Schizosaccharomyces pombe: one gene and its partners. The gene in region 1 interacts genetically with each later gene. Each region holds a gene or a part of one and is shown in the gene's direction. Other genes may lie near its edges.

The links.
Region 2: mutations in rqt2 (region 1) and ctl1 together harm fitness more than expected from each alone (negative genetic interaction), as found in Schizosaccharomyces pombe (one large-scale study listed by BioGRID).
Region 3: mutations in rqt2 (region 1) and sgt2 together harm fitness more than expected from each alone (negative genetic interaction), as found in Schizosaccharomyces pombe (one large-scale study listed by BioGRID).
Region 4: mutations in rqt2 (region 1) and pcf3 together harm fitness more than expected from each alone (negative genetic interaction), as found in Schizosaccharomyces pombe (one large-scale study listed by BioGRID).

The regions. Positions count from the first base shown.
Region 1 is NC_003423.3:3,743,960-3,751,675, reverse strand, and holds rqt2 (ATP-dependent RNA helicase), read left to right. Parts: upstream 1-1,666; 5' UTR 1,667-1,800; coding exon 1,801-7,608; 3' UTR 7,609-7,703; downstream 7,704-7,716. Other genes in the region: protein smp2, read left to right, coding at 16-204; SNARE protein Ykt6, read right to left, coding at 866-1,355, 1,404-1,507.
Region 2 is NC_003421.2:391,504-395,851, reverse strand, and holds ctl1 (choline transmembrane transporter family protein), read left to right. Parts: upstream 1-1,586; 5' UTR 1,587-1,667; coding exon 1,668-1,680; intron 1,681-1,717; coding exon 1,718-2,777; intron 2,778-2,826; coding exon 2,827-3,366; intron 3,367-3,417; coding exon 3,418-3,529; 3' UTR 3,530-3,830; downstream 3,831-4,348. Other genes in the region: ubiquitin hydrolase Ubp16, read left to right, coding at 1-969; proteasome regulatory subunit Rpn8, read right to left, coding at 4,087-4,348. UniProt on the Schizosaccharomyces pombe protein: Required for the normal organization of the preautophagosomal structure (PAS) and for the correct subcellular location of atg9.
Region 3 is NC_003424.3:3,627,148-3,630,665, reverse strand, and holds sgt2 (SGT2 family TPR repeat-containing protein), read left to right. Parts: upstream 1-1,710; 5' UTR 1,711-1,779; coding exon 1,780-1,882; exon of another isoform or gene 1,883-1,922; coding exon 1,923-2,543; exon of another isoform or gene 2,544-2,591; coding exon 2,592-2,821; 3' UTR 2,822-2,991; downstream 2,992-3,518. Other genes in the region: DNA recombination mediator Swi2, read left to right, coding at 1-1,493; protein Rqc1, read right to left, coding at 3,122-3,518.
Region 4 is NC_003424.3:2,529,708-2,533,378, forward strand, and holds pcf3 (CAF assembly factor complex subunit B Pcf3), read left to right. Parts: upstream 1-1,576; 5' UTR 1,577-1,745; coding exon 1,746-2,972; 3' UTR 2,973-3,170; downstream 3,171-3,671. Other genes in the region: mug105 (ubiquitin-fold modifier-specific protease), read left to right, coding at 1-112; protein meu29, read left to right, coding at 431-1,084; atp19 (F0-ATPase subunit K), read right to left, coding at 3,197-3,221, 3,284-3,420, 3,463-3,507.

The DNA.
Region 1 (7,716 bases):
CTTGCACACATTCACATGCAGCACAATAAGGAAAATCATTTTGTAGAGGATGCAAAGCAATTCCAAGAAAAAGCAAAACTCTATCAAGGAAACTACTATACACTGGATGGAGAATTAATCACCATAATACCTAGCTCGAAGGAGGGCTTTCGATCATGCAAATCGCTTTATTATAAGAAGAAGCAACCTATACCGGGAAGGTAATAAAATATAGATGCAGCTGCATCTGCAGCATATTGATGGCGTGCTTGCACATACTCCTCAACCCTTCAAACTTTTACTTCAATAAACGAAGGGTACCAAACCACTACCTTTCTTGAACTATTTTATCAAAGAAATGCATAATAGCATTAACGAATAATGAAAATTACTACCAAACCATTTTGCTTGCCAACAACAATTGAGTTTGTGTAACTTGATATATACTAGAAGATAAATCTAAACTATAGAAAAATCTGTAACGAAAAAAGCCCGATAGTTTTCTCGCTCCAACAAACTCAATAATTTTACAATCTTTAAAAAAATCTCCTTTACAAGTTTATAAAGTGAACCATTCATGCTATGAGCATCAACGAAGAGTGTGTATGCTCATTGAAACATGCTAGACTTTTTCAACAAGTAATCTACTCTATAACATAAAAGCAATCCGGAATGCAAACAACGTGTCATGAAAAGATCAGATTAAAGATAATGATAGAAGAACAATTTCATGGACTCTAGGAACAGGCGCAGAAAAATTAACAAGGTTTTGATATTCAATCGATAATTGCAGCAAACAAAATGCAAGAATACCAACTTGAAAAAATATGATATAATTTGGGCATTGGGAAGAAAGGAAAACCAAACAAATGAATTTATAAAATAATTAAGCTATTATACAGCAAGAATTTTGCTTTTTAGCAGATTTATAAAACATTCGAGACTGTGTAGATAAGTTATCACTACGTTGGATCAAGTCGTCCAACTTCTCTCCTCTAGCTAAGACACTCTCGATTGTTTTATGAAGTACATCTTTAGTTTCATCCAATTCTTGTTGCACTCGCATAATCGTATCAGCCTGCTTGGGGTCTTGATATTTTGATAGATAGGTATCCAATTCTGGAAAGGATAGGGTAACAGCACCAGATTCCCATTTGGTGCGAGGATTTTTTGTCAAAAATTCGTCTAGAATCTTATTTAGAAGAGTATAAGCAACACGTAAAGGGTATTCCTTGTCACTAGCAATCACACCGCACAACCCATCCGATCGGTTGTACACATGAAAAACGTAATTGGACTGTTCAACGTCTTGTCTTTGCCCTGGATTAGTACGTTCTGCAACAGTCTTTGTAAAAAAATTCATGAACTCTCCGATGCTGAAATATTTGTTAACAAACTACTCTTCAATTAAATCTTGCACATACGATGATCGTTGAAAAAATGAGAAACTAGATAAGTCTGAGGCAGTGCATAATAATTGCACTGGTTTTGGGTCAAAGCGGAGTATAGAGACAGAATACAGCTTCATTCTGTAAATATGCTGTAAATCAAGTTAATGGTGTGGGTTAAGTTTGTTTCTGCTTTGGTTGAAAACGCCATACTTCTTGCAATCGTATGTACACACATAATACCTTCGACTACGGTATTTTTCTATTACACAAATAATAGGTAGTGGCCATTTGTTTACAAACCATCCCCTACACTACTAGCAGTGCTAAATTGGGTAGTATATTGGATACAATCCTATAAAAGCAATAAAAATTCAAATTTTTTCTGTTTAAGGAGGTTTTAATTTCAACGATCTATCCTTTTACAGTTTTCATGGAAGTTGAGTTAAATTATGTAGTGAATCACTTAGAAAAGCTAGGTCCTGCTAGTTTTTGTGATACTCCATATAGCTTTTCGCTGAGTGATTCGAATGCTGAGCTAGGTGCTTTATCGTTAAAAGTTGACGAAATTTTGAAAACAAATTATAATTTAATCAATCCCGAGGACGTTACTGACTCCGACAATAATGAATTTGCTCTTAAAGATTTAACTTGGCTGCAAAATTGCTGCAATGAAATTTCTCAATCTTCAAGTACTGAACTTGATGCTTCAGTACTATTTGAAGCAGTCATTATGAGCCTAAAAGCGACTGAAGATCAATGTGCCATTCAAGAAGATTTACTGAATCTTGTTGGACTTGATCATATTGACTTGATTTCAGATATCGTCGCTAATTCGTCCAATTTAATAGAAGAATACATGAATCAAAATGATACTTCAATTGCTGCGCAACTTTCTGATGGCTATACCTCTGAAGCTGGTTCTTCTGCTACGCATGGTCAGGGATTATTAGACAGTTTAAAAAGTAGGCCGAGAAGATTTAGTCGGTCTCGTGATAACAGAGGTCCTTTATTTACTGGACAGCAAGTTTTTGAAGTGGAAAAATATCCTCATGTGTATGGGGATAAAAGGCTTGGTAATACTATTAGCGTCATTGGGAAAAAGTTTGCATTACCGGCTGGTAGTGAAAGAGAAGATTACCAGAAATATGAAGAGATTATTGTTCCTCATGCTCAGCGTGCTCCACAAATGCAAGGGGAAAAGTTGTTAGAAATTTCTTCGATGGATATTCTTTGTCGAAAAACATTCCTTAGCTACCAAACTTTGAACAGAATCCAATCGCTTGTCTATCCTATCGCCTACAAGACAAACGAGAATATGTTAATTTGTGCACCTACAGGTGCAGGAAAAACTGATGTTGCTCTGCTCGCAATGTTGCAAACAATCTCCAACTATGTAGAAAGTATGAATCTTATGGATGAATCGGAACCTCTAGATGTTCATAGAGATGATTTTAAGATTGTCTACATTGCTCCTATGAAGGCATTGGCTGCTGAGGTTGTAGAGAAAATGGGAAAACGTCTCGCTTGGTTGGGATTGAAAACTAGAGAACTTACTGGTGATATGCAACTAACCAAAACGGAAATAGCAGAAACTCAGATACTTGTTACAACACCTGAAAAATGGGACGTAGTTACTAGAAAAAGCGTCGGCGACACTCAGTTAGCCGAGAAAGTACGTTTGGTTATCATTGATGAAGTACATATGCTTCATGATGAACGTGGTGCTGTTATTGAATCACTTGTCGCTAGGACACAAAGGCTGGTAGAAACAAGTCAACAGATGATTAGAATTGTTGGTCTTTCTGCCACACTTCCAAACTACCTTGATGTAGCTGATTTTTTAGGCGTCAATAGGTACAAGGGATTGTTTTATTTTTCATCTGCATTTCGTCCATGCCCTATTGAACAGCATTTCATCGGTGCTAAAGGTTCTCCTAAAATAGTAAACTCAAATATTGATGAAGCTTGTTTTGATAAAGTTTTGAAACTGATTCAGGAAGGCCATCAGGTAATGATATTTGTACATTCTAGGAAGGAAACCATTAATTCAGCTAAGAAGTTGAGGGAACAATTTTTCCATGAGGGAGAGGCTGATTTGTTGGACAACTCACAACATGAAAAATATAGTCTAGCTCAAAGAGATGTTTCAAAGTCAAAAAACAAAGAGTTAAAAGAACTTTTCAAATACAGTATGGGGATTCACAACGCTGGCATGTTACGATCGGACCGACATCTTACTGAACGTTTGTTTTCTATGGGTATTCTTAAAATTTTATGCTGTACTGCTACCCTAGCATGGGGTGTTAATTTACCGGCTTATGCTGTATTAATTAAAGGAACTCAGCTTTATGATCCACAAAAGGGTTCTTTTGTAGATCTTGGCGTGTTGGACGTTTTACAAATATTCGGTCGTGCTGGTCGTCCTCAGTTTGAAAGTTCGGCAGTCGCGTACATAATTACGACACATGATAAACTTTCTCATTACATCTCCGTTGTAACACAACAAAGCCCTATTGAATCTCGTTTCACCGATAGATTGGTTGACAACTTAAACGCTGAAGTTTCTTTAGGAACGGTAACTAATATTGACGAAGCTGTATCGTGGTTAGGTTATACTTATCTTTATATCAGGATGAGACGTAATCCACTTGTATACGGTATTGCTTATGACGAACTTGTTGAGGATCCTTTACTAGGCAGCAAGCGAAGAGAATTGGTATCTGTAGCGGCAGGAAGGCTGGCAGATAATCAAATGATCGTTTACAATAAGAAAAACGGATACCTGATTCCTAAAGATTTAGGTAGAATCGCGTCCAATTACTATATCAATTATCAAACTGTCTCAACATTAAATAATTTATTGAAAAGCAAAATGTCGGAAGCAGACATTATAGCTCTTTTGAGCCAATGCAGCGAGTTTTCCCAAATCAAATCGAGAGAAAATGAGCATCGTGAGCTTGAATCACTAATGGAAAACAGTAGTCCTTGTCAGTTGAGGGATAGTATTTCGAATACATCAGGAAAAGTTAACGTTATTCTGCAGTCATACATTTCTCGTGCGCATGTAGAAGATTTTACCCTAACATCAGATACAAATTATGTTGCACAAAACGCGGGTCGAATAACTAGGGCTCTTTTCGAAATTGCAATGTCAAGGACTTGGGCCTCGGCATTTACTATCCTTAGCTTAAACAAGTCAATTGATAGGAGGCAGTGGTCTTTTGAACACCCCTTACTTCAGTTTGATCTTCCACATGACCTTGCAGTCAAAGTGGAAAATCAGTGTGGGTCTTTATCATTAGAAGAATTGTCGGACATGTCTACAGGAGAACTTGGTGATCTTATTCATAACCGAAAAATGGGCCCTACAGTTAAAAAATTTATTTCCAAATTACCTCTTTTAAACATTAATGTTGATTTGCTACCTTTAACGAAAAACGTTTTGCGACTTGTATTAAATATCACTCCCAATTTTAATTGGGACATGAGATATCATGGAAACAGTCAAATGTTTTGGATATTTGTTGAAGATAGTAACGGTCTTGAGATTCTTCATCATGAACAGTTGCTCCTAAATAAACGGAACGTTAGCACTTCTCATTTACTATCCTTTACCATACCTGTGTCTAATCCATTACCCTCACAACTATACATTATTGCAGTATCAGATAAATGGCTAGGCGCTGAAACAGTTACCCCGGTTTCTCTTTCTAATGTTGTTTTTCATGACGATTCCAATCCCATTACAGAATTATTGGATCTTCAACCTTTACCAATTACGGCTTTGCACGATCCAGTGCTAGAAGGTATATGCGCTAAAAGATTCTCGTTTTTTAATGCAGTCCAAACTCAATTTTTTCACACTATTTATCACACCGATACAAATATTTTCGTTGGTGCACCTACTGGATCTGGTAAAACTATGGCCGCAGAATTAGCTACTTGGAGAGCTCTTCACAATTATCCTAAGTCGAAAGTAGTTTATATTGCTCCAATGAAAGCTTTAGTCAAGGAAAGAGTAAAGGACTGGGGACACAGGTTAGTTGAACCAATGGGGATTAGTATGATTGAATTAACTGGTGATACTAACCCGGATGTTAAGGCTGTTACGAATGCAAATATCATAATTACAACACCGGAAAAATGGGATGGTATTACTAGAAGTTGGAAATCTAGGAAGTATGTTCAGGATGTCTCATTAATTATCCTTGACGAAATCCATTTATTAGGTAGCGATCGAGGTCCTGTCCTTGAAATGATTGTCTCCCGAATGAATTATGTTGCTTCTCAAACTAATAAGAAAGTTAGAGTTCTTGGTTTATCTACTGCTGTTGCTAACGCTAACGATCTTGCAAATTGGCTTAACATAAGAGATGGTCTATTTAATTTTAGGCATTCCGTGCGCCCAGTTCCTTTAGAAATATATATCGATGGATTCCCTGGTAGAGCCTATTGCCCAAGGATGATGTCGATGAATAAGCCTGCTTTTCAAGCCATCAAAACGCACTCTCCTACCCAACCTGTTTTAATTTTTGTTTCGTCGCGCCGTCAAACTAGATTAACTGCAAAAGATTTGATAGCTTTTTGTGGTTTAGAAGACAATCCTAGGAGATTTTTGTACATGGATGAAGAAGAATTAGAAATGATTGTTTCAGAAGTTGAAGATAAAAGCCTCAAGTTGGCTTTACCATTTGGTATAGCACTTCACCATGCTGGTTTGACTGAAAATGATAGAAAAATTTCCGAAGAGCTTTTTGTAAATAATAAAGTTCAGATTCTCATCGCCACCAGCACTCTTGCATGGGGTGTAAATACGCCGGCACATTTGGTAATTGTGAAAGGAACAGAGTATTACGATGCTAAAATTGGAGGCTATAAAGACATGGATTTGACGGATGTGCTTCAAATGTTAGGGCGTGCAGGACGACCACAATTTGACAATTCTGGTGTGGCACGTATATTTGTACAGGATATTAAGAAGTCGTTTTATAAGCACTTTCTACATAGTGGATTTCCAGTAGAGTCTTATTTACATAAAGTATTGGATAACCATTTAAATGCCGAGATTGCTACGGGCACTATAGATTGCATACAGGGTGCAATGGATTTTTTAACGTGCACTTACTTCTATCGAAGAGTTCATCAAAATCCCGTTTATTACGGTGCTGATGGAGATGACCAAAAGAGTATAGATACTTATTTATCGAAACTTGTTGTGACTGCATTTAATGAACTTGAAAAGTCAGCTTGCATATATCGTGTCAACGAAGAAACCTATGCACCTACAACTTTGGGTCGTATAGTTAGTTACTATTATCTTTTTCATACCACCATCAGAAACTTCGTTCAAAAAATAACTGAGAACGCTGAGTTCGATCTTGCGTTGCAATTGCTTGCTGAAGCATCTGAGTTTGACGATCTCGCTATTCGTCACAACGAAGATTTGATAAACATAGAGATTAATAAATCTCTGAAATATTCGGCTGCTTGCCTAAACCTTCCTATGGTCGATGCTCATGTTAAGGCATTTATATTAACTCAAGCTCACATGGCAAGATTGAAACTTCCAGTGGATGATTATGTTACTGATACTAGCACGGTTTTAGATCAGGTTATTCGTATTATACAGTCTTATATTGATGTGTCCGCTGAGCTAGGCTACTCCCATGTCTGTTTACAGTACATATCTCTAATGCAGTGTCTTAAACAGGCTTGCTATCCGAGTGAGATTTACAGAGCTTCATTACCTGGACTTAATGCGTCTAGTGAAAAGGAAGCAAGAGATTATCTCAACAAATTTGCAGGAAATAAAACTGATGAGTTATATCAAATGCTATGTAATGACCCTAACGTTTTTGATATAGAAAGTCTGGTCAATAGTTTAATTTCGTATCCTAAAATGAACATTGAAGTTTCTCAATCGTCTTCAGATAAGCTACTCCTTTATCTACGACGCCTCAATCAGCCGCTCAACCCCGATTTTTACATTTTTGCGCCGTTGTTCCCTAAACCTCAAAGTGAGGGATTTTTCGTTCTCATCATAGATTCAGAAACTCAAGAACTGTTCGCGATACGTCGGGCCTCATTTGCTGGGCGAAGAAACGATGATTCAATTCGTTTATCCCTTCGGATTTCAATGGATATTCCACCAACTTGCCGCAACAGAAATGTAAAAGTCATGGTTGTTTGTGATGGATACCCATTAATTTACGAACATAAAATTGTATTGATGATTTAATGAAGCTTTTGTAGAAAAATAGAAGGCTTTAAGCCAATTTCCTTATTATATTTAAGTCTGTTTAATAAAAATTAATTAACAAATCTATAGACCTCAATAATCCTATTA
Region 2 (4,348 bases), on another chromosome or scaffold:
ATGAATTCAGTACTTCAGTTGATGACTCAAACTCCACCGTTGGTTCAATATCTTTTATCCGGTCAACATTCTTTATCCTGCCGTATGAATGCATGTGTACTCTGTAGAATGGAGCAACATGTCGCCCGTGCCTATCCCAACAAAGGCACCAAACGAGCTTCGGCCTTCAAACCTTCAGGTATACAAAGTATGCTCAAAGTAATTTCCAGTCATTTCCGCCCATATCGCCAAGAAGATGCTCATGAATTTATGCGATATTTGGTTGATGCTTGGCAAAAGTCTTGTCTTCAAAACCATAAAAATCTTGATCATCCAAGCAGGGAGACTTCGGTAGTACACAGAATTTTTGGTGGTTACCTACGCCAGCAGATTCTATGCTCAGTTTGTAAAAAACCTTCCAACACCTACCAAGCTTTACTTGACTTATCTGTGGATGCGAAGGGCTCCTCCTTGGCAGATTCCTTAAAGCATTTTGTGCATGCAGAAAAACTTACCAAACAAAACAAATATCGATGTGAAAATTGTAAGCAACTGGTGGATGCGTCCAAGCAAATGACTATTTATCGGGCACCAAATATTTTAACCATTCACTTCAAGCGGTTCACATTCAACGGTTTCCAATCTAGCAAAATCAGTAAGCAAATTTCATACCCTGAATCATTCAATCTCGGTCCGTATATGTCAGATCCCAATTGTTCTTGTTGGTACGAATTAATTGGGGTTCTTGTACATGCAGGCGGAAGTACCCGAAGCGGCCATTATTATTCGTTTTGCAAAAGTAGTAATGGTGTTTGGCTTAAATTTGACGATGATTTCGTTTCCAATTCCAGTATTGATCGAGTTTTGAATCAACAGGCCTATATTTTGCAATACAAGAGGAAATCAACTTCATCGTCTAAACACAAGCTAAACACCGAAAACACGGTTACCAAAACTTCTAATAAAAAACGGAGAAAAATTTCATTTTAATGCGATACAGTTAGCTTGAGCAGTTAAAGTTTTTGCTTCCTTTTGCCTATCTTTTTTTTTAATATGCTAATGTCTCTCTTATTTAGAGGTTGATGGTATAATATTATTGCACGTAGAACATTTTAATCTTGAAACAGCGATTTTTTATAGAAATCATTTTGTAAATTAAACCGCTGCATTGCATAAGACTGAAATGAGCAACTTTTTAGCTTTTAAATCAGTTCGTTGGTCAAAATGATAATTTTATTTTGACATATCTTCTGTTGAATTATAGCGGATTTAATGCTTATCTCCTACGGAACCGGGTAATTCTTCCTTAGGCTTTAGCCGTAGGCATTGCATTTTATTAAAGTACCTGAAGTTATCTTCTTCTCCTTTATCGTTTTTATGAAGAAATTGATCATTATTTTCAATGTAAACATACTTGATACCCATTCTATTATAACGACAGTAAATCGTATTAGCAAAAACATTTAATTGCAATTTTTGCAAATGTAGAGGTCGGTTATTAAATTCATAGTAGTAGAAGGTTTCCAATTAAGCTTAACGGATATATTTGTTAGTGCCACAAAGTGCTACCATCTTCGTCATATAGATTTCAATGGAGAGGAATGAGTAACCCTTTGCACCCAACGACCAATTTCCAAAACTCCTTCAAATTGACTAGTAAAGTGATTTTATATACGTGAAGCAAATCTATGTTTAGCGATTGTAAGTAGTAATAGAAGAAAGTTACACTAACGAGTAGATGCTTCGCGTTTTCTTGCACAATCAAGATTCTCTTCTGTTGACCAGCGCAATTTTAAATATCCTACCTCAAGATCGAATCTTCAGAGTGTTAGCATAGACAGAAATAGCTCAATTGATAGTCATGAGACTGATTTGAGCGCCGGGTCTTCGAGTTTGCATGGTTTGAACTCCTTGATAGATTCTGGGTCTATCCATTGGCAATTACGAGAACAAGAGCAGTCAAACTCTCATATTTCAAGGAACGAAAACGAGTTATTTTCTAAAGAGAATTCTATTTACAATGGAAATTTCTCCGAAAATTTAGGTGTTCAACCGAATCCACAGACTATATCTCATGAAAGCGTAAATGAAGAATATACGGAATTACCTTATGATGCCCATCTTCCATCAGAACAGAAGGTTCCAGATCGAAAATGGGGATTAACATTTGGATTTTTGACGTTGGCTCTCTTTACCTATAGCTTCCTGATGGTTTGGCGGACAAATCCTAATATTCCTCCAGCCACTTCTCCTTACGCAGCAATACAAAAAGCATTTCCATTATTTCATAAAGATGCGATTATTTGTATGATGCTTTCAGTTATATGGCTCTTCTGTCTTGTCGCAATTCCTCGTTTTCTGTACTTCCTGCTAGCATCGGTCCCATTGACCATGTTTGCTTTTGCTGTCTACTTGTTAAAAGCGTCTAGGATCCACTTGGAAACGTCAATTCAACCAAAGTTGATGCTATTAACTGGGATAATTTTGCTTGTTGCACCCATTCTGCTTTCATATTATGTTTGGCGGCGTCGTATTCATTTTGAAACTTCCTTTAATATTATTCGGCTTGCTTGTCGTGTTATAGCTGATATTCCTCAAATCACTTTAATATTCATCAGCTTCTTGTTTTCGTTTTATGTTTTAATCTTTATATGGGTAAGATTGTTTGCCCGCTTATTTTTGCGCGGTTCTACCCTTGTTGGTTCTGTATGGGTTTTGCCGAGAAGTTCTTGGGTCTTGGCCTCCTTTTATTCACTTCATTTCTTATGGTTGTGCACATTTTTTCATGCTCTTCAATGGTATGTTATTATATTGCTTTGGCCGGATTTTTTACTAACACAATTGTAGCGCTATTATTTCTTCAATTGTTTCTCAATGGTTTTTTTATCGTGATACTAAGTCTTCGGCTACCAAAACCAATTTAGTTTCTCACTTTTTCTATCACGTTGTTTCCAATCAGTATGGTTTATGTGCCTTTTCTTCCTTTTTAGTTGTTATCACCAAAGTACCATTGCATTTCCTACCCACATGGCTAAGACACGTTTCGCGTATTGTATATTATATGTTTTCAAAGACGTCTGCTTCGTATGTCACATCTCCTCTTACCCTAGCATACGCATCAATTTACTCAGTCCCGTACATGAATGCGTCCAAGGCTTTGTATCAAATCGAACAATTGAACCGAGTAGGATTACGCCGACGTTCCTACTATTTTTCTAAATACACTTTGCTAGCCGCTCGTTCCCTCCTCGCTATAGGAGTTGGCGTTACTTCGTGGAATTATTCCATTCATGAAAATGGTGTCTTTTATGGCTACATTGTAGGACTTTTAGGCGGATTCCTTGCTTGGCTTATCATTGGCGCCATAGAGGGCGGCCTCAGCATGATGTGAGTAATTATATTTAGTTATCCTCGCGTAAAATACTAACTTTTTCACAGTGTGGATGCGTTACTTATATGCTCTATTATCGATATTTCTAGCTGCCAAGGAGATCCTAATGGTTCTCACTGTTTCGAGGCATGGCAGCTTTTTGAATCAAATGGATATTAAAACCAAAAATGCGAATTACTTCTTTTGCTGTTTTTCTGTTTCTTTTAACTTCCTTAGAACCTACTTTCATCAAAGAGCTCAAAGAAAGAGATGCTGGTCACCTGTACGCGTATCCCTATTCCCTTTTACTTCATTAATATAATGTCAGCCTACTTTTTAACATTGACACCTTGGCGTTTGCTAGGATTTCTTTTCATGAAAAGTTTTTTCTCAAGCTATCCATCATATCACTGTAAATTAAAATATGATATTTTGTATGCAATTTCTTCGTACTAACTTAAAATTACACTTTTATCCTTCGTAAATACAATTTAACAAACGTAGACATATCATTTTTAACATACAAGCAAATAAACCCGAACCCGACGTGTAACTTTTACAAGTTAAGAGGGTTACAAATATCTGCAAAACTGTCTGCGAAAAGACAAGATATAAATAAAAACTCTATGATACTTAGACATTGAAATAAAAAACCTACGTTAGATAAAGTCGTTAAATCTCAGAAAGAGGAGTCCACAAATGATAGAAGCCAGACATGGATAGTATGAATACAGTGATTAAGCCTTTTGTTCGGCATTAGCCGAAACTTCTCCATTTTGAACAGTTGGCTTTATGTCCTGCTGTTCCATAGCTTTACTAGCAGCCAAAGAATCCAAAAGATCATGAAGAGCAATCACGGCCCTCACGATGCTGGAAATATAAATGGACATCAACTGATCATTGGAATTCACATTGAAAGCACGTTGTGCCTCTGATTCCAAGGCCTGTTCTGAAACCACAGGACCGCTAAAAATGTTAGGCAAAAGATTAAACACACTC
Region 3 (3,518 bases), on another chromosome or scaffold:
ATGTTAATAAAGATTTGAACTTCGAGGAAGGATTGCCAAGAAGAAGGGGAAGACCTACAGGCTGGAGGAAGTATCCTGAAAAGGAGGAAATATATCCTACTCTGTCTCCAAGGATTAAGAAACCGAGAAAAGTTTTCGATGCTGTAGTCATTCCGGTTACCATAAAACCTAGTATATATACAGAGCCCTCGTTACCTCATCATATCGATTGGAACAATGGTTGTTCTGAGGAATTTGATTTTGAGCCATCAAGAGAGGATGAAGACTTCCCTGATTTAACTTCTGATTCTACTGGTCAAGATCCATTGTCTAGTGAGCCGACTATTTTTGACATTTCTCCATTACCTAGTGATATGGAGCCAACTTTTTCCGAAAATTCATTAATTACCATTAACAAAATGGCAATAGAAGAACGGAAACAATCACGTCGACTTGAGCAACCACTAGCTGAATCTCAACATCAAGAAGATTTGTTGAATCCCTACGGTGTAGATCAAGACTTTGATGAAACTTGCATCAATGAGTCTGAACAACAAGCCACGCATATTCCTAATTCAAGTATTAAATTTAACTATGATTACACTCCCCCTAAGTCTGCTACCTCCCATAAGCATAAGAGGGTCGATCTTCTAGCATCTCGGAAGGAGAATGTTTGGACTGGATTGTATGGGAAAGTACAAACTGAAATGGTTTCCAACAGAGGCGAAGCTGTGTTGAATGAAAATAATAGCAAAAATCGTACTAATGTCACTAAGCCGAATTCATACAAAAACAGTGTTTTATCAATTGGGAATAATCATTCAAACCATTCTAATATTATTAAACCGAACACCTATAAAAATACTATTTTGTCCAATGAGAACAATACTCCAAACTATTCTAATGTCTGTCTTTCTACCTCTTTGATAAATCGAAGCCTTCCATCTCTTAAATCTACTATGCACCCAGGGGTCAACAAAGATTTAATTACGCGGCCATTTAAGAATGTTAATAAAATGTCTGTACGAAAGGCTCTCATTAAACCATTTCATCCTCCGATTTCGAAGATTTCGCGAACCCGCTTAACTGTTTCCTCACCTGAACGGCTGTATTGTGCCAAGCCTATCTCAATGGCTACTGCTCCAAGTGAAACGGATAGCAAACTAATTAACAGAATCCGTAACCTTGAATTAGAAATTGGTGGCTTGAAAGAACAATTATCCGTTGTAGAGCTCGCTCTTGACACTGACAAAAATTCTAAACAGATACAGGTGGTTGAAAGAAAAATCCAAAATTGGCGAAAATCTGCGCAATTAGCAGTCGAAGTGCTATTTCCTGTTTTTTCTTTGAAGTTTACAACCATGCTTCAAGAAGTTCCACAGTCTGTTTTACGCACATCAGCTAATGATTTACGCACCAAGCCATGTTCCATTGGTACGTACCTTGAACAGTTGCAAATACCCTTCCATCTCCTTCAATATAATTCTGAGACAGAAAGCTGGGACCTGGAATAATATATGTTTTTAGTTTTTTCTTTGCTTCCTGTCTGTTGTTTCTATCTATTTTTGTTTTTTTTTGTCATATCAGTATTTTACAGTTCATGATTCACATTAAAGGTACTATAGTTATCTAATGTTATTTTAATAGCAATATAATTAGGAATCAAAAATTCATTTTATTATTTGCATGTTTACGTATATAAAAATCTATAACGGCGCTTGGAATAATTTTGCCCTTCGCGCATCTCACGATATACTTTCAGTAATACGAAAAAAATCGGTTCTTAAAACGATTAGGAAAATGAGCTCTAACAAAGTTACTGCGGCTATTATTGACTATTTGAAGCAAGCTATTACCACCGGTTCGATTTCTGAAGAAGAAAAGGAAAGCTTGGAGGTTGCTGGTATGTGTAACCCCATTTAAGATAATCTAACCAAAATCAGCTCAATGTATTCAAGATTCTTTTAAAATCAAACCAGAAGAAATTAAGCCCAAGTCAGGGGATCGTTTAGTTGCTGCTTTTGAGGAGTACGAAAAACTGCATCCAGTGGAGGAGGATTCCACTGCTCATGTTAATAAAGAAGAGGCTGAGAAATTAAAACTTGAAGGAAATAATGCCATTGCGGCAAAGGATTATCAAAAAGCTTTGGATTTATACACTAAAGCCATAGAAATCGATCCTACCTCTCCAGTTTACTACTCCAATCGTGCAGCCGCGTATAATCAGCTAGGGCAATTCGAAAATGCTGTAGAAGATGCTTTAACATGCTTAAGTTTAGATCCTCATCATGCTCGAGCCTTTGGACGACTTGGTCGTGCCAAATTGTCACTTGGCGATGCAGCAGCGGCAGCTGATGCTTATAAGAAGGGCTTAGACTTTGATCCCAATAATGAGGTTTTAAAGAGAGGTTTGGAAGCTGCTAACAAGCAATTGAATCAACCATCGGATTCATCCGCTACTTCTGGAGCTGACCAAGCTCGCACTTCTGCTGGTGCCGCTCCTGATCTTGGATCCATTTTTGGAGGAGGTATGCCTGATTTAGGTTCTTTGATGAACAATCCTGGTAAGTTTTTTAGTGTATACATTATTCATTGTTAATAAGTGATTTTAGCTGTTATGAACATGGCGCGTAACTTGATGCAATCGGGTGCTTTGAATAATATTATGAATGACCCTAATATTGCCAACATGGCCCGTAACTTTCAATCTGGAGGAGGTATGCCTGACTTGAGTTCTCTTGCCAATAACCCCCAACTGCAAAATTTGGCTCGCAATTTTATGAACAATAACAATAATGGCAACACTGATAACAATAACCAAGGAAATCCTCCCCCTCAATAAAGTATAGGTGTATATTGATTTGTTTGTTTTTGCTTTTCATTCAAGCAGTTTATATCTTGCATTTAAATTCATTTTGAATACTTGAAGAATTGCTTTGACATTTTTTAGTACCTTGCATATACAATCATTCTGCTAATCAATCATATTGTACATGTTTGTTAAGATTACCGTATTTACAGTAGCGTTTGCATCGTTTTTCGTATTATTTTTAAATAGTTCATCTAATTTTTATTGATAATTTTACAATAGCTTTCGTTGTATGAAAATAAGGACTTCATTAAACAATTCTTTTGAAATAATTCAATCCCCTTGACCCATCTCTTCTGTGCTTTCTTCTGCAGGTTCCGTCTCTGAGTTTGTTGATGTAAACAAGCTTCCAAAAAATGAACGTAGTCGGGTCATCACCGGAGTTCCATCTTCTGATTCTTCACCAACCTCCGATTCAATCTGTTGTAGCAATTGTTCAGCAGGAGGAAGATCAAACTCATGAGCAGGGGGTTCTTCCTCATTTTCATTAACTTCTCTTGCTCTGGATAAATAATCGGACAAGAACGACGCAATTCGACGAGATATATCTCTACCAAAGACTTGTGACTCGCTTAAATATGTATCAGGAGGTAGAGGATCAAAGGATAAAATAGTTCCTTGCAAGATTCTCTGTGGTAGAAATTTTCTCAAGCTTTGCTCATTTAACAGG
Region 4 (3,671 bases), on another chromosome or scaffold:
GCGATCTTTGAAATTCTCACAATTTCAATTGGTACATTTTAAGCAAAACATTTTTTTAAATGATTTCAGTTCAAAACTGGAAGTTCGTTCTACCAGAATTTCGGACTTTTAGCTGTCCAAGCGCTGGTGATGTTTTTCATAATATTTATGAAGGCCGTTTCCCCATATATTAATTTATAGAAAAAGGAAAAACTGTTGAAAAATAATAATATATCTGATTATTCTCTTTTGACTTACTACTATGTAGTATACGTATATTTAAAATTGTTGATAGTTTCTCATATTTTCATATAGCGACATTGTTATTGAATTTAAAATTTGTTGTTTTGCGGTGAATTCGGTGTTTACATCGGTATATCCGACTTTGGCTTCCGAATGTGGATAAAGGCTAAAGTTGTTACCAAAAGTAAACAACTACCAGCCTTGCACAATGTTTGTTGTCAAGACTGCTGTATTATTATTCTTTGCATTATTTATTGGAAATACTTATGCATATACTTATTCTCTGGACAGAATTCAAGCATTAAAATTTAGTTCTGAATCCTCCAACGTTGATGATGGACCACGGCTTCATTGCAAAGGACCAGCGTGTAGCTCGCACAGCAATGATTTGGCTATTTGTCAGCATAACCAACTTAACGTTGCTCCTCATTTATTAAAATGGACTTGTGTATGGCCTAATCAGTCTTCTCATGTAGAAGTAATAGATTATAATATTGAGTGCAAAAAAACCGTCGCCTTGTCCATGGACAGCATTACTAAGACATGCATTTTAAACTATAAGTTGGAATGGACCTACTCTGGAGTATTACTACATAGGCCTTGGAAATTGTTTTCATTAAAGCCATTCACTGCTGCGTTTGTGCTCCTCCTTGCGGCTTCATATCTGGCAACTGCCTGTTTCCGTATGCTTGGTTATTTGGGAACACCTAGATCTCGTTTCCATGATAACAGAAGATGGAATGAACAGAAATTTATGGAGTTGGCGGTTTCTGCTGTAGAGGAGCAGTTATCTAATGGCATACAGCTTTTCTCCAATGTCAAACAGAGAGTTCCTGTACCCGTGTTGGATGAATCTGTTTAATACTTTGCATTTGAATCCTCGTGTTTAGCTTCCACGTAGTATCACATATCTTAAATGGATGACAGTCTAACTCTCAGAATAGGCAAACAACAGTTGAAATCGCACCTCTGTTACATATATTACAAGTTCATTCCCTTATTAATCACTCATTAATGAATGCCTCCTAATTGAAATCGAGCGCTGTCATCCCCACGGCTAATAATCGTTAGATTTCTGCATTCTATTTAGTAATATTCTTGCATTATTACCATCATATTCTCTGTCCACTTTCGTTTGCTTCTTTAACTTACAGTTAGAGAAAATACACTTTAAAATATAATAATGGAAAACAGCTATATTAAAAATCAATATTGGCATAGCAGATCATTCATAGTATTATATAACTTCTTGATATAAAATTGTTTCTTTTTTCATTTATTTGTTCAGCTGTATATGGTAATCCATATTTCGTACTAAGCGCTTCGTCTACCGACGTTGTAGGTTCAACCTTCCATGTACATACCTTCCAACAAAACTTTCTTACATATTGATGGCAAATAGTGGCTTATAGACAGATATTTTAGTTTAACTCATTCTCTAAAAGTAAAATCACTTGCATTCTTTTGAGGTGGTAGAGGTGGTTTAAACTCAAATTGTTAAAAATTTGTTAAAGTATGCAAAAATGAACACCGAACTGGATATGCAGAATTTCGAACATATTAAGTTTCTAGAGAATCAGATTAGTGAGGATCATTTTCGTTGGAAAAAAAATTCGAAACATCTATACAACTTACTAATAACCCGTACTTTAACATGGCCCTCTTTAAGTATCCAATGGCTCTCAGCAATGGAATCGATCACTGAAAAAGCGGTTTTAAAAAACCGTCTTCTCCTAGGGACTCATGCCGCTGAAGGGATGCCAAATTTCTTGCAGCTTGCAGATTTAGATTTACCTGATTTCAATCAAACTATATTGGATCCAGTAAAACACTACAATGAAGATACTGGTGAGCTAGGAGGCTATAGTATGCAACATTCTTGCAAGTTCCAAATCTCGCAACGAATTCTTCATAATGGCGATGTAAATCGTGTTCGACACATGCCTCAAAACCCAAACATCATAGCTACTATGAGCTCTTGTGGAAATGCATATATATTTGATCGGACAAAATATACTTCAATGCCCGCTGAAGAATTTTTACCAAATATCTCTTTGATTGGGCACAAAAAAGAAGGGTTTGGACTATCTTGGAATCGTCAGCAAAATTGCCGACTTGTAACAGCTGCTAATGATTCGAAAATTTTAGAATGGGATCTAAATAATTTTAGCCGTGATACGAGGTGCTTAACTCCCGTAAAGGATTTTCATTATGATGATTCTCCGGTTAATGATGTTGAATATCATCCGCACCACACCAACTTATATATTGCTGTAAATGATAATGGAATTGCCTTTATTTGTGATAACCGACTTCAACAAACATGTTCGAAAACAGTTAAAGCTTCAAATCCCCTTTTTAGCGTCAGACATAATCCTTCAATTGCGACTTTGTTTGCTTTGGGGTCTGAGCAAGATTTACAGCTTTGGGACCTTCGGAACTTAAATAAATCGGTTTTTAACACTTCTGAAGACTTATCAGATAATAGATTAAAAGTGCCTTCTAGACTAACTCTAGGAGGCACCAGTTTGTCATGGAGCTGGAGACACTCTGGTCGGATTGTTAGTGCCTGCCAAGAGTATTGCTATGTGTGGAATTTTAACAAAGCTAATCCTTTGGAGTTTGTGCATGCAGGTCATAAAGGTACGGTGAATGAAGTGGACTTTGATCCGTTTGAGGCACAATGTATTGCTTCGGTTGCTGATGACAATGAATTACACATTTGGAAGCCCAATGTTATTGTTAATTAATAAATACTTACATCCATCACACGAGGTAATACAAAGTTTTAAGTTATACAGCAATTAATTAATTGCAATTTTGATGGGTATGTTGCAGGGCTATATTGTATTCATTCATCTTCAAATTTGCTCAACGTGTACATTAAAATTACCTAATGACATAGAGATATTTCATTACTAATGAAAAGATAATTTTTCACTCACTAATCGTCCGTTCGGTAATCAAGGATTTCCTACTTATGTTCTTCAATGTATTTCCTATAAAGTAGTATTAGTAAATATATTCCAAACACTCGCTATAGAGCAATAGCTTTACTTACAAAATGAATTCTTCTTCTTCTTTGCTTTTGGCATTCAAAGGAGGAACATCCTTTGCGCTAAGTGGCTTATTTCTTTTAAACAATTTACTATAGATCACAGGACCAACAAATACTGAACCGAGAACAGCTAAACTCAACTATGTTCATTGTTAGGTGTACGGAATTTGAAAAATACATACTTGATGAGCTTGGAATTGACGACCTGCAATTGTATAAACCGACATAATGCTTATATTTAATAGTGAATGATTGAATCAAGAGAAGGGAGGTAAAGGTTTAACACGGTTAGCAGCGAATATGAAGCCGACTGTAAACTTAGCAATCAATATATTCGTTAAATTAGCTTAACGAAAAATAAGGAATACAGTTATCACTTCAAGTACATATA